3 linked regions of the Drosophila melanogaster genome follow. Changing the gene in region 2 together with the main gene of any one other region gives a genetic interaction. Each region holds a gene or a part of one and is shown on either strand. Other genes may lie near its edges. The genes, in order: cnk, jeb and rl.

Region 1 (8,033 bases), 5.3 Mb from region 2:
AAAAATCCCAAAATAAAAAGATCGTTATTCTATTATGTACAGTTGACTTTATTCGTATGCATGTATATTTCGTGTAATTGTGTATATATATATTTCTTGCATTCCGCTACAACATTTCTGGCTCCATTGGCGTCGCTGGATGCCATTACAATAATATCTCATTTCGCATAATAATATATGTATATTACACGCAATCTAGACACAAACTGTTGAGCAAATCAAACAGCTCGGATTAACTTGGTTAATCGCGTACAAAGGCAAATCATAAAGAACCGTCTTTGTTCGATGCACAGACTTCTAAAGTTATTCTCCATTTTCGCTATAATTCATTGTTTTGCTTGCGTGACTACATGTGTAAAACATTTTGCCTAGAACCGAAATACAATGCAAATAAGGCAGATTAAACATTTACATCTAAGTGGGTTTCGAATCGAAGGGATTGCAGGTATGCGTGTGTTTGTTTCTGGTGGACAGACAGGGAAGACGATCAAAATGAACAAGTTGTATACCTAAATCGTACGAGAATATCGCTATATATAATATATATATATATATCTATATGCGTGTGTATAAATACATAAGTAAACGGGGGCTAATCCCCGCGAGCATTCACAATAGTTTTCATCACACATCTAGGTCTGATGGTGTTCGCCGCCACTGGGACTGCTGTTGGTGTTGGTGTTGTTATTGGTGTTATTATTGTTGTTGTTGTTGTTGGTGGTGGTGGTGCTGGCGGTGGCACTGGTGGCACCACTGCTGCTGGGCGTCCGCATCACGATGCGGGACAAGCTGGTATCGCTGAGCGAGTAGATTTCCGGCTCAAAGACAGGCGGACACTCCATATTTGGATAGTCCGGCGTTGCCGCCTTCGAATCCACAGATCCCGAACTGGACACTTTTGGGGTGGCCGCACACTCTGATATCGTTGCCTCCGCTTGCTCCTCCTCTCTCTGCCTGCTGGTGTTGACGGGAGGCGGTGGCGCTGGGGGCAACGGCGGCTGCAAGCCCTCCGACGAGCACAAATTAGTGGTCGAGGTGGTTAGTATGCCAGGTCCACGGTAACTTCGATATCCCGCCTGATTGTGCGTGGGCAGGGTGATTTGGGAGAAGATCTCCTGATCGCAATCGGGATCCGCACTGCTTGGTGGCGTTACTGCCTGCTGCTGATGGTGATGGTGCCCGAACAGCGTGCGATGCAGCAGCGGTGAGCCCAGGAAACGATTCTCCTTGGAGGGCTTCGCCGGCGTGCCACCCGATATGGAGAGTTTCGAAAAGATTGGTATCGGGGCCGAGTTCTTGCGATGCGCATCGTACTTGGTGCCCACTATCTTGTCTCGCAGATCCTGATTGTACGTCTGGCTTTTCTTGATGCTGCTGCCGCTGCCGATTATGGTGACTCCATTGCCTACGGCTCCATCCAAGGCGTGATTCGATTTGGACTTCTTGTTCAGCGGCAGCGTCATAGTCATCGCATGACCCGGCCCACAGCCACTGCCCGCGGAGCCAGTTGAGTGCTTGGAAAAGGGAAACCGACGATCGCCGCTAGACTTTCCTTTGGACTTCTTTTGATCCGCACCGGATCCGGAACTCTTGCCGCTGCCGCCGCTGCTGTTCTTGTGCAGGAAACTGGAGAGCTGTAACTGCTGTGAGCGCAAGAAGTGCTTGGCCTTGCTGCTATGTTGCTGCTGCGTCTGCTGATGTTGTAGCTGCTGCTGCTGTTGCACATGCTGCAGGTGGTGCTGGTGATGATGATGATGATGGTGGTGCTCTTGCCGGCTGATGGAGCTAGTGCTCGGCTCATCCCCACATATCAGCTCGTAACCAAAGTCGCGCAACTTCTGACCTTCCTTAGTTCTGGTTCTCTTAATACTCTCGTCGTCAGGCTTAAAACTGATCTCGTAGTCGGGTGTTTTGGGCAGACTCACGCTCTGGATCTTGGGCAACTTTTCCAGCGGCTTTGTCACGCTGCTGCTCATGGCGCTCTGCTGACTGGCCGTGGATTCCGTCCGTGCGTGCTTGTGCTTCTCCACACCCAAGTGCACTCGATTGTTGTACATTTCCTGGGCCTCCTCCTCCTGTTTGCGCAGCATCAGATCCTTAAGCGTCACAAAGCCCTGTATATTATGGCCATGGTCGAGTGTATTACCCACACTCATCTTGGGGAGTAGTGTTTTCGAGGTATGGAAATCGAATTCCACCAAATTCGGATTTGAGGCGTGCAAGAAGTTGAATGGTGCCTTCTTCAAACTCGACTTGCTACTGGGACTCTGGCTCTGGCTCTGACTTGGACTCTCCTCGGAGCTCTGATGCTGCAGCGATGTGGGAGTGGCTGTAGGCGTGGGCGTTGGCGCTGGCGACGCGGGCGGACCCAGAATCGAAGCAGATAATGATACGGCAGACTCGGTTCCACTGACCACCGAACTCCTACTTGAGCTACGCGACAGTTTAGGACCCACCAAAGGTGGAATCTGTGTCGGCGGCATTGCGGGATCATGGTAGCCCGGTGTATTGGCACCAATCTGAATGCCAAAACTTCCGCCTGGCACCTTCCTATAGCTGCGGTATTGCTCCGTTGGCACAGGGATGTCGCTCGACGGTTTCGCTGCACTGCTCTTGAATGTATTCGTAAATTTGCGAAACGAGTCCAAGTAGCCGCGTTCATGCTTAATGGGTGCAGAGGAAGGTGGTGTTCCGCCAGATAGTGTCATCGACATGGACATTGACTCCTTGTTGCCTTGCGGCGAGGGCGTGCTTAAATTCTGGATCACAAGGGCATCGCATTCCTCGCCTGAGCTATCGTTCTCCGAATACAAATCCTTTGCGTCACCACCGCCTTTTGAACCCGTACTAGGCGGCACTTTGAGCGAAGCCTGGCGCAAGAAGTCCACCCATTGGTTAAGTGCGTCCAGCGACTCGGCCGCAAAGTAGAAGCTCTTGGCCGTGTGGTAAACTTTAAAGGCATGCGGTTTGGAGTGCACTTCTTTTGCCAATGAAACCGTAAAGCCCGGTAAAAATATTACCAAGCTGGCGCTGGTACTCTGCTTACTGCGAAATCCGTACAGTATCGTATCCAGCATCACGAAATAGATTCTCGCCCAGTAAGTCACTCCGCGATGATTTTTCTTGCGCCTGTACAGATGACCTTGGATATCCCCAGTCCCCAACAGCTTGAGATTTGTGTTCCGCCGCTTGGCCATTAAGCTGTGCTTCTTTTTAAGGGTCAGTGTCCGGGATTTGCTGGGCGTATGAAGCTCACTGATCTCCGATGGATCAACTGCGGCTGGTACAGGTACTGGCACGGGAATGGAGATACTGGTGATACTACTAGCCGGCTGCATGCTGGCTGGTTTTGGTGGAGGTGGAGGCACCGCCGGTGGCGTCATTTCCCTTTGCTTGCGGGGTCGCGGTGGCGGTGCTGGCGGTGTGACAAGCAGGAACTCCTTTCTTGGCTCAATCGCTGGCGGCGTATCCGATTCTTCACCCGAATTATCGTATGCCGGAGTACTATGACTCTTGTCTAATCGGCCCCTTCGACCTTGCTGCAACAAAGGCATGTTAATGGCCTCGGCCAGGGGCAAGTCCTGACCTTTTGTAGCCAGATTAATTGCCTCTAGGAGCTCCTCTGCGTTTTCTGTTTTGCAGTTGCGCAGCGTTTCCAAGGCGTCCTCGTCTCCCTCATCCGCAAAGGGAATCGGTTCAAAGGTCTCCAGTATGGTGTTCTCAACGTTACAGATAAATTTTTCATTCTTCATCACATAATCTTCCTTGGCGTCGAACCGAACTACTTTGCTGACACCCGGCTTGTAACGATCCACGAGGAATTCGCGCTGCGAGTCCTCCGTCAGCTGCTTTAGTTTTCGCGCCTCATGAAACATTCGCCTGGCCTTGTCCGTGGAGGTATCGCCCGCAATCCCAATGCAAGTGGTCGGCCTTGCTGCCATCTCTAGGCCATAACCGAAGGATATCGACTTATCCCGTATACTGGGCGAGCCAGGGTCGCAATTGGTGGGCGAACCAATTCCTGGCTTTCTTTCGTGCCACGATGGAACGACTAGATCCGAGTTTTTCAGGCTAAGATACTCGCATCCACAAATAGTGTTTCTTCGTTGGAGCAAAGCTCTTGGCTTTGGGTAATACAAACGGATCTCCCGTGCGGCTAGCTTGGGATCCGTTGGTGTTGGAATATCACTGCAACTGGAATCAGAGTCGGAGGCAGAGGACACTGGATTGGCCTTGGTAAGTACCTCCCTCTTCTCACTGCTTAGGGATTTACTGGGATCTGGCACCGCGCTTCCTGTTCCTCCTGTTGCCAGTTGCTCCGTGTCCAGGGTTAAAAATGCAGCACGGGGACTTGGCATCTGTGCCGCCCAGCGGGCGGCCATATTCCTCTTCTTGCTGGGCAACCTGTACGGCTGCATATAGATCTGTCCAAACATCTTTGTGTGCTTCGGCCGTTTCTTCACCGTCAGCACCACATCTGGAAGTGCTTCCCTCAGATGCTCCAGTACTGTGCGATGCTGCCAGCCCACAACGGTCTGGTAGTTGATCTGCACAATCTCGTCGCCATCTTCGATTTTTCCGGAATTGTGAGCTGGCGAGTTGTACTTGATATCCGTGACACGGTGAATGCCATTATAACTGGACTCTATGTTGAAACCCAACTCGGATTCGCGTTTTTTAAGGGTGACAAGGTTCAGAGAGGCTGGCTGCAGTACCATGGGATCAGATATGTCCTGGATTACAAAGTTGGCAAGATTCTCGAGCCGTTCCGCTGACTGTCGAATCGCTGGCACCGGCTGCAGGGCAAAACGATCACGGTGGGCAATTGTGGCCAGCTCCAGGCCGCATTTGAGCACATTGCCACAATACTCGCGGTACATCTCCTGCTTACGGAACGGTGTTCGCTCCAGGCTGCCCACCAATGGCTTTAGAGTAGCTATCGTCCTGGTAATATCGTGCAGTATCCGGGTATCGATCTTAGTGCTCTCCGCATGATTCCTGGCCAGTTCGCGATGCAGATTCTTAGCTGCCGTGGCCACATGCAAGGCCATGAACTGCAGATTGTCGTTTTTCAGGTGATAATGCTGGAATATCAAGCTCAATTAACGGGTTTGTATGTCACAATATTTGTTTGGGGTCTCACGAAGTTTCTTAAGTTCTCCACCGCCTCCAGCACGATCTCCTGATGGCCAATGCGCAGCATGCCCAGATTCTCCAGCTCGTATGGCCGTATGTTGAGCAACGCCCGTCCGCCGATCTCCTGCTTGGAGAACTCGTACAAATACCCCTTCATAGACTCATCCAGACCTGCGAGAATCAGGAAAACATAATTATTATGATGTGCCTGTTGAAACCTTGAACAAAGCGGAAATTCTTGTTGCACTTGTTGTTGCTGCTGCTTTTTGGGGCAGTGGCTGCGAGATGCAGTTTTTTTTTTCTCAGCTGCGCTTTCCTTGACCTCGAGCATTACCTTTTATCCAGTCGGTGACCTGGTCGGGCGTCCACTCGGCGATGTTGATGTAGGCCATCGCTGCTGCTGCTGATGATCCGCGCTGGGCCGCACCTACGGCATATTATCAATTCGTGCTGCAAAAACACTCGAACCAAGTTCAGAATTGCTATATTGTTGCGTCTCTCTGGTCCGGAGTGACCATCTTTTAGAGCTCGAACAATACTCGGTGCTCGTTAAATACTATCGAACTAGCGTGGCAATCGATTATTTAATGCATTTTAAAACTGAACAAAATGCAATTTATTCAAAGTTTCTTTAAGGGACAGAACAAGAGGAAAGAAAACTATAAATTATGATACTACTACATACTACTTTCTCCATCCAAGATAGCCAGGAAACAGCCACATGTTTCTGTATGTGTTTATTTTTATAGTCTTAATTAATATGAATTTGGCTTGCAGTGCAAGAGAGTAAGAGTAACAGTTATCGATAGAGGACCAACAAAAAATAATCGAATTGGTAATTGTCTCATGTTGATATATTTTCCGAGCACTACCGCTATTTACAACCTTTTATTTGTTAGTACCTAAAGATCATGTTGTAAGCTAATCTTTTAGAAACCACAAAGTTTTATGTAAAATATTCACTTATATTGACACAAGCTCGAAGTAATAATTATCAAACATTTAAAAACCCCGCTTCGGATTTAGCCATTCACATTCGAATTTACTGCAACCCAACAGCCAACAGCGCTTCGCAACACTGTCGCCGCCCCAATCAAACAGCTGAGCGCCTTGCGAATGGAATTGAATTGCCCCAAAACATATAAATAAATGCCTCAATGACAGCATCAAATGGAGATAAACAAGGCAATGAGCGTCCCTCCGCTCCAGTGCCTTTCCCCAGCTGACAATTAGCACTTTACTTGACCATTCAAGCTCGGGTAGATGTATACATATGTATGTATACGAAGGCGGCGCACGTTTTTCCAACGCAATGCCTTCAGAAACGAATCAGTCACTTGCTCGGAGAGGGAGAGGCACGACGAAGTAAATCACCGCGTGTTTTTTTCTAATCGCTGCAACTGGCTGCTGCAATCACTATTCTCTTGTCGAAATGTCTGTGACCCAGACGAAACAAATCAAGTTCTACAACCCATCGAGTTCCGCTAGCTCCGACAGGTAACGAACGACTTTTTAATGCCGCATTAATTCACGCACGGCCAAAAGTAAAGTGTGAAAATCCAACAGAAGTCATTAGAATGTGATACACACTCACACACACACCCGCGCACAAACATATCTAAAGAGCATGTGCTCCAAGTCATTCATCGTATGTACGTACGTACCTACTTACATGTGTGCGTCGTGGGGCCTCTAATCACGCAATATAAATAAATGCTGGGAAAATGGCATAGGGCCTGCGTTCGCAAACACCACTACATGTGCAAACGCATAACATGTGATAAATTCAATTTCGATATAGTCGCCGGTTGCATCGGATCGGAAGAGAGTGTGAGAGAGAAGGCAAAGCGAACACCCTGCGAGAACAGTTACAAGCTAGGGATGGGCGCGTCAGCGAGTAACTTGTAATGTTGCAGTTTGAAAAAATAATATTCATACCACAGAAACATTATTAAAATAACTTTGGTGCGATCCGTGGAATGCTATAAAAAATTACTTGTGTATAAGTATATGTAGCGTGAAATATTTTATGATTTTATGCGCCTAAAAATTAGAATATTTTTTTCTCTAACAAATTAAATATCCTTCACTTAACAAAAGTAAAAGAGACATTTGTTATGCAAATTTGGCTAAAATGTAGAGCACATCTTCGACTGAGTCGTGTCACGCCAAACCTCATGTACCACATGCCCACCTCTATGAAGGCTTGCGACAACAACAATGCAGAGACGACGCCGGCAGAGGAAACCGCAGCGCAGCGCAGCTTTTTAACCTTAGCTGCCTTAACACTTTTTCTTGTCATTCAATCCCCAAACGCCGCTCACCTCGCACTTCTCGCTACACCTTTGGCTTAATTTTTTGTTTTCATTAGTTATCGAATAAATATTGGCCGCAACGCAAAAGGTGAATCGCTGCGTACGAAATAAAAACTCTAAATCACATGTGATCCACGCCGGCGGCGATTCGCGTGAGCGTTGTGTGAGTGAGTGACCCATTTTGGCTTGGCATCGCCGGTTGCTGTGTTCTTGCTGCCTCCACATCCAAGTTCTCACGCCCACGCCGACGGACTGAGTGATTCAAAATCGCTGGCAGATCGGGATCGGGCTAAAAATGAGCAGCATCACGTTTTTGTGCAGCAAGTCGGGCCACAACACCAACAACAACAGCATTAATAGTAGCAATAACGATGTTCCAAAAGGGGCAAAAGCGAACTCAGCATTTGCAGCCGCATCCGCCGGTTTACTAACCATCGCAAACCACCAGCAGCAACAGCTACTTCAGCAACCACATCAACAGCAGCAGCAACAACAACAACAGCATCATCAGCAGTCAAAGGTTAAGGCTATAGCAGCCAAAACCAATGGTCACATGTAATTCATTGCATTTTCCCCATTTCT
Region 2 (4,953 bases):
CGAAAGGTCCTGGCCAGGCTCAGCTGTTTGCCGTCGCCTGTAGAGTTTTCCAAACGAGCCGGAGACTTTCGGGTCGTGCAACAAATTGAGAGGCCAAGCCGGCTTTTTGCATGTAGACTTTCAAACAGAGAGATATGGCTTGGAGATCGAAATAATATCGAATTTAGTTATATTACAGCAGTAAAGCAAACATTATGGTGAAATACTAAATATAGTCATGTAGGAGTTTACAAGCGTACATTAAGTTTATCTTATAGCCCTTTCTTAATAAATAATTAATTTACTGTATTAACTTAATTTTCTATGTTCAGACTTGATTGATAAAATATTGCTATGAATGACTGTATTCTCCAGTTGTATTCTCACCTTCTTTTTACGCTCGACTCCGAAACTTTTTCGATTATACATGGCGACTATTCACCTTTTCGTCCATTCAAAACTCTCCACACCGTGGAACAAGTCCATTCACGTAGCTTAAGCTCGCGATTCAATTTCACCTCGGCTCGGATATCATTACGTTGGCACGGCGAATATATTATAGCTCGCTCGTAAAACGTAAAAGCCACAGACATTGTGACGACAAAAGGACTCGTCTTCGTCCTCGGTCTGCCACGCCTCCCCACCCCCGCCCCCAGCCTTCAGCTGTTTGTTGTGTGCAACAGCAAGAACAATGGCAAAAATCGAAAAACGAAAAGCGAAAAGCGGGCTGCAAGCAACGATGACGCCTCTGCCACAGGACATTCTCCTTCATTCATGTTGGCTTACACCCGAATCGAAGGGTCCTTCGGCTCTGCGTCCTCCCCTTTCCCGATTCGTATTCGGTTCGCCAGCTTTAATGACTTGCAATCTATGTGCTCATTTTTATTCACAATATATCCTCGGCGCTGCTGCTGCGTGAGTTGTATTTTGCCAGTAGATATATGTACATGTAGGTATGTATGTACGTATCTCGCCAGTGTGGTTGTCAATCGTTTTCGACTTTTGAAATGTAGGGGAAATGTACCGCTAGTTCGTTGGGCGGTCGATCGGCATATTCCATAAGAAAGGGGCTTGTAAATATCACGGGAAATGTACTAAGTTATCATAAGTTATGGCACATAAGTTGTTGCCAAATCTTTTGCACTGGCTGTTATGATCAGAATCTATTATAGTTATTATAACTGCATTTATATATCGTGACTTCATTTAGTTTATTTGGTTTCTACTAACCGTCTTTAAGTATTGCAGTATTAATTTGTTCAATAATTAGGAATATATTTTACGGTAATTATGACGAACATTAAAATGAAAGATTTCTTAAAAATGTGGTTGTTAAAAAGGTTGTTAAATGTTTGAAACTTATATACAAACATCTTCTGTTACAAAAGGGTTACAAAAATGTTGGTCGACATGCATTAGGTAAGTGATTTCAGTGAAAATCCCATTAGTTGCCCATTAATGAAATCACAAACCTTAGCTCGGGAGAAACCAGATTTGTGGTATCACTTAATTTTCCCACAATTGATTTTTTCCGGCAAGAAAACACAACGCGATTCCGGGTAAGCCCAGTGAAAAGTGCATTCAGTGATTGAATCCTCGGCTGTTGTTGGGATTAGTGGAGCCACAGCTGATGACAGCTAAATGGGATTACCCAAATTCGAGTCGAACTGGGGAAATGCCCCGCCGGAACGAAGGACTCCGATGCGGATGTTGAACAACCCACGCAAACTGGCGACCGCAAATCATATGGCATCTGGGAAATGGAAAACAGGGAGTCAATGATGCCGGTAACGGTGCACAGTGCGCAGTAGCAGGCACTCTCTCTCACTTTCTCTCATCCCGTTAGGCTTCGGGAAAAACTCTACACATGAGGCTGGTTGAAAACAAGTGGTTGAGCGGCCGCAGTGCTCAGTATAGAGCGAACAGTCGTTTCGAGCTCGAGTTTTTCCCGCTGACCGAGAGCACACAAGCTGGAGCTGAGGAAGCCCAGAAGCAGCAGTAGCAGTAGCAGCAGGAGCAGCAGGAGAAAGCAGAGAAAGCGGCGAAAGGAGCAGGGAGCCAGGAGCCAGGAGCCAGGAGCACGGAGAAAGAGCAAGGAGAAAGGAGAAAGGAGCCAGAGAGAGAGAGAGCGGAGAGTAGCCAGCCCAGCAGCCAGCGGTTCGTCCGAGGAGTGAAATTCGAGGCGGGGCGTGCAGGGAGTGGGTGTACGAGTGCGACTACGACAACGACTGCCACATAAAGTGGAAATCCGAAACGCCTTGAGGAGCGGCAGCGACGTCGACGCGGGCAGCGACAGCGACCGCGACGCCGACCGAGGCAGAGGCAGTGGCAGAGGGACACGCGTCAGGCGGCCAAGCAAAAGGCAGACAAACAGGCAAATCCTGCTGAGACGACACGACGAGTCCTTGCTCGTCGGTTCAAACGTGCGGAACACTCTTGGAGCCAGGCGATAAAAAAGAATATAACAAAAAAAAAAAAAAATATACACACTAGTAGCAAAGCTAGTCCACTAAAACATCACTCACCCAGAACAAGGGAAAGTTTTCACACCACAAACGAAAGCTGAATAACAACACAAGAAAATTATATACCCAAGAAACCAAAGTGCCGCGAACAAAAACTAACTAATAAGCCTAAGGTCTAAATCGAAATCGAGTGGACTGGCCAGTGAAAAGAAGAACGCCAAGTTAAGTGCCCGAAAAAATATACAGATAATATCGAAAAATAACGAAACCATAAACAACGGTCGTTGCAAGGCATCCACAAAAACGCGATAGCCAAAAAGTTTGAAAAAGAAAAAAAAAACACACACACACAAATTTGGAAAAGTTCGAAATTTTCGAAAAAACTTCGTTCGGTGCAGGCCAGTGTAGTGCAATGCCAGGCTTAGGCCGGCACAGTGTTGGTCAGCGGTGTGGGGCCTGAAGACCCACAAAAGCCGTGTGTGCAAAGCATCGAAAGTCCAGAGAGAAACATTGATATCGGGACTTTCCCTCACCACCATTCACCGCCACCAGCCCCGAAAAACCACCTGCCACCAGTCTCTATAACTCCCGCCCCCACCCCCAAACACCATCCCCCCGGACTAGCAAACTAACTGTATTTTCCCCTTGGTAAACCCCCTGGTAAACCCGAAACCGCCAAGATAAGCCGTCTAATCGAGAAGCTGCGCCAGACCAACAAACGGAAAATGTTCTGCTCGCTGGCCCAGACGCTCTTCTGCGTCCTGCTCATACAGGGCGGCCTCTATGCCCTCCATCTGAGCGGAAACGGAAATGGCAACGGGAACGGGAATGGGAACGGCGAGAAGTCGCTGGGCGAAGCCAAGGCAGTGCAGGTGCCCAGTCATCCCGTTGGACCCTCGACGGGAGTAGCCGCCGCCTGGCAGACCGCACCCTCGCAGCAGCAGCAGCACCAACAGCATCCCGGAGGATCTCCGCCCGGCGGTGGATCCTCGCCGCATGGCCATCGGTCCGCCGCAGCGGCCGCCTTCGATGCCACCACCGTGCGGCTGAACAAGGAGATAGCGGATATGGCCCAGCTGGAGCGAGAGCGACTAATGCTCCTGGCCCGCGCCAAGCAGACGGCGGAACAGCCGCCGGCGGGCAGTAATCATCGCGGTCATCCCTTCATTGCCGGCCGGATACAGATGCAGCCCAGCGAGGAGCTGGAAGTGGGCGACTATCCGGCGCTGTTGCAGCAGGCCGCACGGGGCTACATCTTCGGTAATGTGCAGAAGCAACCACCGACGCCGGTTACCCTGGAACAGGATTATGAGCAGCTGAGGGATCTGGAGAATAGACCCGTTAAATACTACGGAAGAGTGGTGCAGCCAGCGGAGAGGGAGGAGCAGGTGGAGGCTCTCTACGAACCGCTGCACTCGTTCGGCGACTTTGATGACTTCTCGGAACTGGAGCAGGAACCGCAGGAGCCGCACTTGGGCGAGGATGAGTTGCTGCGTGAACTGGATGCCTATCAATATCACGGCCTGGAGGACGAAACCCTTCCGGAGAATCCCTATCGCACGCTGGAGCAATTGGAGCTGGGTGCACCCGACTCCCTGCAGCAGCTCTTCGAGCAGGAACAGGAGCAGCGAGATGCCCCCTTCAAGGCGATGCACACCGGCAAAATCCACAACCCGGGCAACTACAACATAAGGGTGCAGCAAAAGTGGGCGAGGAAACGAAATGGCCAGGGCATTGCCCATAATCCTGAGGCGGAAAAGCAGCTGCAGCGCCAGATCTTCGCCCAGCACTTCAAGCCACAGCGCAATGGCAAACTATCGCTGTCCGCCAACTCGGAGGCCACGGCCAGCAAGCACCTGAAACCATCCACTCGCTCCGGCTCCAAGGATAACGAGAAGCCACATAGCGAGCTAGGTAGCAGTGCATCCTCGGCCGTCTCCTCCGCCACTTCTTCCTCCGGCAAACAAGCCGCCGGCGATGGACTACCTAAACAGCAGCAGGTGGAGCAACAGTCGCAGCAGGACAAAAAGGATCCCAGCCATAAGCGATCCGGTTCCGGATCGGCGGGATCCATGGGATCGCCAGGAGGCGGTTACTCAGCGCAGCCACCGATTTCACACAGCATAGCCAGCCAGCTGATGCTGCGCACCGCCCGCGGTCAACGGCAATACGATGTGCCACAAATCGGTGAGTTATACCTATAAATTCCCATTATATAGAGGCTTGAGCTGGGGTTTCAATGGTGGACTATGGGGGAGGAATCGTTGGAACCTAGCCGACTTCAACGCTGACCTTTAGCCGACTGTCTGGCATTAATTCGATCCAATCGAACATGCACCCAGCGCAAGAAATAAAACCTCAATGAAATCTAATTAGAGTGAACTTTCGAAATTCTAAAATAGTTAGTCAAAATTAAAAGCAGGAAATAGTTGGTTTGCAGCCAAGTTCTTTAGGTCATCAAATCAGGTTAGAAATTAAGAATTTTGATTTAATATTAATATGACTATTA
Region 3 (5,033 bases), about 11 Mb from region 2:
ATCGTGAGCAACATCGGCGAGACATGATCAGTTAAAATCTCTGAAATTTCGCATAGCTGCTATCGCCACCAAACATTTCTGCTCAGTCACAGAACACACTAGTCGGCACTACACACACTGTTGGCAGTAAAATTTTAAAATGACTTAATATGATAATAATGATTATTTTTTATTTGTTGGGTGTAAGTAATATAAACATAAAAATTAACAAACGATATAGACAAGTTAATGTAATATGATTATTTTTTGTATTGGCATAAGTATTTTGACAAGCCTTTAATACCTAAATAAATAAGTTTAAGTGAAGCTGCAGCTTTTTTTAACGAGTTATTCTCGAAAGAACTTACATCTGTCCATAAAACACTTTTCCAGAACGAAATTAGTGAACCGGGGTTAGAGTTTTCTTAAAAGTTTGCATCTCTATATTCCAAAGCGTTTGAAACTAACAAACACAAACTGTAATTTACAAAGTTAAGTTAAGAAATTCGACAGGGACAGATGATCAACCGAAGTTGGACGCTTACTGTGTTCCTCCATATAATTTTACCTCACCATTACTTAATTTAAGAATGTCTTCATTTTTGAAAATAATTGTGTCCAAGGGTAAACCAAAGTTCTTAAGCATTGTTTTCCCTGACAATTAAAATTGAACAAAAGAAAAATGATAAAGGAAATTAAAGTTGAAATTTTTAAAGTAAAGATATATTTGAATTTATTTATGAGTCTTAATAAGTTCTTTCTGTGCTCTCTAAGTCCATTCACGTTGGACCCACTTCTTCTTTAATAGATAATACAAATGAATTATATCAAAATCACTGGTTCCTGCGCAACTTATTGCGCCAACAACGGCAACGACTGACGTCTGGACTGCGGCAGCGCCGACCAAACACAAGTTTTGCAGTCTGACGGCTGTTAAACAAAATCCCAAAACTCCATACACAAACTAAACTAAACTATATACTAAAACTAGACATCAACTGAGTTGGGCATTTTAAACAATGTGCTAGCTTTGCAGTCGCTCTTTGCGGTGCTACACTTGTACCCGCTCCGTCATGCGAGTTAAACTGAAATGTATTCTAAGAATGAAATAAATTGTTAATAAGGAAAAGGTCATGTTATAAAATAAACCTACATTAATTAAAAAAATTAAACCTACACTTATACCTAAAACCATGGTATTTCATTAATTCATAAAATAAATAGCTGTCATAGACATATTTTTCACGATTTCTGTAAACTTATATACTTGGCGTACGTAGCATTTACTTCGGATATCACCTTAAGAGTAACAAATATATTTAAGTACATTCGGATTTTTTAATGTAAAAATATAAAGTTTTTGACATCTGATAGTATTTTGTTTAAAAAGAATGTTCGATCATCAATCATCCTCCGTTGCAACACTGCTGAATTTTCTGTAGTGGGCAAACTACATTTAGTTAGCTGTACATTTGTATATGCTTCTGAGTAGTGAGCTGTTAAGAAATTTTATTATAATATAATAAAAAAGCAATTAAAGGATTTGTTTTCTCTTAATTAAACATTTAATTTCTGCTTTCGTGTTAATATGTATATTCTACATTGGTTTGTAGTCACGTCTTAATGGTGGGAACAGTACTTTTAGTTCCGTTTACGCTGAATTTACATCTGTTAGGTCACACAGCAGAAGATGGCACATGCCTGCTTTCTTGTTTTATTTTAATGGGCAATAATAGCTTAAATTAGGAATATAACACTAAGTCAAAAGGTTTTTATTTCTGCGCTCCCATTGAAAAATGTCCAAAAATATATTTAACCCAACATCAGGTTAATATGTGATGATCAATTTCCTCCTTTAATACCAATTTTTAAATAAAAAAATGTCTTACGCAATGACTGATCATTTTTAAATTATTATATTATTTAATATTAATTGTGGAAATTGTGGCTGCCAAAAGACTGATGTACCTTTTGGGATCCGATTATAATTGGATCGGATAAACATTGACCAGTGTCGTTATCTTAACATATTATTAATGTTTTACGCCGTCGATTTTGATAAATCATATTTACGCATTTGTCTAAAGAGTAAAAAAAAGTTGAGTTTATATATTCATATCTTAAGTTATAGACTTTTGGTTAAATTCATAATAAAGTAAATAAAGATTTTGCACTTATTGCTGTTCACTTAAATAAGATAAAGTGGGACATATTCAGTTGTAAAAGTGTTATTACAATCCACGCATACATACATTGCGAATTTTGCAGATACGGTGTATTTTGTATCATAACATCTTTAGTAGTATTTCAAGTTTTCCAGAAGAAACGTTAGTCATGGAGGAATTTAATTCGAGCGGATCAGTAGTTAATGGTACAGGATCTACGGAAGTTCCTCAATCTAATGCTGAAGTTATAAGGGGACAAATATTTGAAGTTGGTCCTAGGTATATTAAACTCGCCTATATAGGTGAAGGAGCTTATGGCATGGTTGTGTAAGTACCTAATACCTATTTTTATTTTTGAAGCCGTTTTTAATCTACAGTGTTTGCACACCTCTTTCTTGTTGTTCCTTTGTCCATTATTCATAGTTTTTTTTTTATCTTGCGGTTCTCCTTCCGAAATGCAGTAATACTCAGAACCGTGTTCTCTTGATTTTATATCAAGTAATACATTTTGTTCAAGTCCTTTGCTGTAAGTTCGCATACATGGTATTGCTGAATCAATGTTATTTTTCGAAAATGCATTAAATTTATTCACATCAATCATACGCAGTACTAAGCTGTGAAACACTTAACAACGAAATAGTTTCTCAAATTTTTGATTTCTTTCTTTTTCTCTAAACGTGGCTTAGTTTTGCTTTTTCTTTGACAAAATCAATCTTTAAGGGTCGACACAACCGAGTTTGTTTTCATGCAAAAGCCTAAATTGGCCGATGGACTTTATAAATAAAGGAAAGTCAATAGCTTCTGAGTCATATTGCTTGCTTTTAAACGCTGCGCACAAAACTTTCGTTTACCGGTCGATCGGTTGTTCAACGCAATACAATTTCTCGCTAAACTTGGATTTGCTTGTTAAAGTACTCTTTTACTCGGTGCCTTTATACCTTTTTCTAATGCTTTTGGACATAATTAGGGATTATTCATTCATTCATTAAAAGTAAATTTGGAACCTACATTTTCAAAAATAAAAAATCAACACATTTTTTAAAAGTTGCAGTTGCAGTTTTGGGCGGAGAGTGGGCATGGCAACATTTCATTTTTCAGTATTTAAAAATAAAAAATATTTAGTTGAATTATTTTGTTATATTCTTATAAAATATTTAAAAAGCGGACATTTTGTTTTTTTTTTTAGTTTCTTTTAATTTTAAATTATAGTTTTATGTTTTTTGATTAGGTTGGAGTTTTGAGGTGGGTAGCAAATGGGGTTGATTGACTGAAGAGAGCATATTTTGGGGAGGGGTCAGTTCATGTAGTGGGCATTGGTAAGGTTGGTGTGTCCAAGCCTGAGCCTTTTTATTAGGATTTGTGTTTTCTTATTGTGTTATGTAGTGTTGTAGCTTGAAGGATGAGCTCATACCAGGGAAAATTGAGAAAAGTCGTCACAGTTGTAATTTGAGGAGTGTACAAGGGCGTATCTGTGGGCATCTTTAGCTGTTTTGTCGGCGTATTCGTTGGCGGATATGCCGATGTGAGTGGGCATCCATATAAGTTAAATAATTGGGAAGTGGTTGGTGAGAGGGTTTCTTATTGTGGATAGATATTATGAGATGTTGATTGGTATTGGTATTGGTGAGGAAATTTAGGGCGGACAGGAATTCGAAGCCCGGCGGCTAAATTTAATTTTGCTGGCGTTGCTTGTTACGCTATAGCTTATTATTTAATTGGATATCGAGCCATATGTGTGGCTGCATAGTTGCAAACCAATGTATGGCCGTTACGCATCTTGTTATTCTAGTGTCTTTGATATAACATTGGTTGCTGATTTTAGTGTTCTTCTGGACCTTAAACTAAAGTTTTTCAGATCATATTTCGACTATTGTCAATAAGGCAGGGGTGTGCTTGGTTTAATAAAAAGGAGGTCAAAGGAATTAAATGATCATTACAGCACCAAAACCTTATTCATTTCGCTAGTCCGTTCGATTCTTGAGTATACGTACCTCAATCGGATCGCATTGAATCGGTCCAAAAAAGTTCTTCTTTTAAGTTTATAGCTATTTGGCTGTACAAAGGAATACTTAAATATATTCCTTATTTGTCGCTGTTCTGCTATAAAAAATCGGAATTCACCACCATATCCTATTATTTGTTCTAATTTATTTTAACAGAATGTGCATAAATCCTTAATGACGAACATTTCTTGGACCTAATCCATCTTGGGACTGTTGGAGAACATCTATGGAGTCTGCCTTAGTTATTAGGTCTTCCATAGCGATATCATTCCTAATTATTTTACATGCGTATTTTACTAGATTCGTTGAAATGTATGTGACAGGCAGAAGAAAGCGTTTCCGACCACATAAAGTATATATATTCTTTATCAGGATTAATATCACACCAATTGTTTTCTTTGCAATTTTTTTTGCCTTTCTTTTCTTTCTTATCTTTGTTTTCCACACCAGAGTTATTTGTAATTTCTTTAACTACATAGCACAAAAGTTATTACTCTTTGCATGCCACTTAAATTATGAGTGATTTTGTAAATAATTCCTACTAAGCCCTAAAAATTGTCCCAGGGTCCTGTTTAACGAAATTCATTTCTGCGACGACGTTGTATTATTATAAATGTTTATTTTAAAATAATATTTCGCGAAATATGTGAGTGTAATATTAAACTTAAATGAGTTTACAAAAGTTTGTGGTGGTTCCCTGTGTTGATCTCAACACCGACTGGACACATTAATTGTATTGATCTCCATGCTCTCTTTTTTCACGCTCTCTTGTGGCGTTATTAATAACATGGTTTACTATACATTCATTTACTATATTCATTAAGCGTTTCAAATCATAATGTATTTCTAATGAACCCGCTGCTTCTTTTTTTTTCTTGTCCACTTT

What was found.
Region 1: of jeb (region 2) and cnk, changing one suppresses a phenotype caused by changing the other (phenotypic suppression), as found in Drosophila melanogaster (one study listed by BioGRID).
Region 3: of jeb (region 2) and rl, changing one suppresses a phenotype caused by changing the other (phenotypic suppression), as found in Drosophila melanogaster (one study listed by BioGRID).

Annotation. Positions count from the first base shown.
Region 1 is NT_033778.4:17,413,941-17,421,973, forward strand, and holds cnk (connector enhancer of ksr), read right to left. Parts: upstream 6,068-8,033; 5' UTR 5,529-6,067; coding exon 5,471-5,528; intron 5,308-5,470; coding exon 5,144-5,307; intron 5,085-5,143; coding exon 633-5,084; 3' UTR 30-632; downstream 1-29. Other genes in the region: l(2)k01209 (lethal (2) k01209), read left to right, coding at 7,747-8,006.
Region 2 is NT_033778.4:12,116,277-12,121,229, reverse strand, and holds the start of jeb (jelly belly), read left to right. Parts: upstream 1-1,889; 5' UTR 1,890-3,169; coding exon 3,170-4,631; intron 4,632-4,953.
Region 3 is NT_033778.4:1,069,969-1,075,001, forward strand, and holds the start of rl (rolled), read left to right. Parts: upstream 1-2,006; 5' UTR 2,007-2,077; exon of another isoform or gene 2,078-2,282; 5' UTR 2,283-2,313; coding exon 2,314-2,471; intron 2,472-4,303; exon of another isoform or gene 4,304-4,373; coding exon of another isoform or gene 4,374-4,396; intron 4,397-5,033. UniProt on the Drosophila melanogaster protein: Serine/threonine kinase which acts as an essential component of the MAP kinase signal transduction pathway to regulate proliferation, differentiation and effect cell fate decisions in various tissues.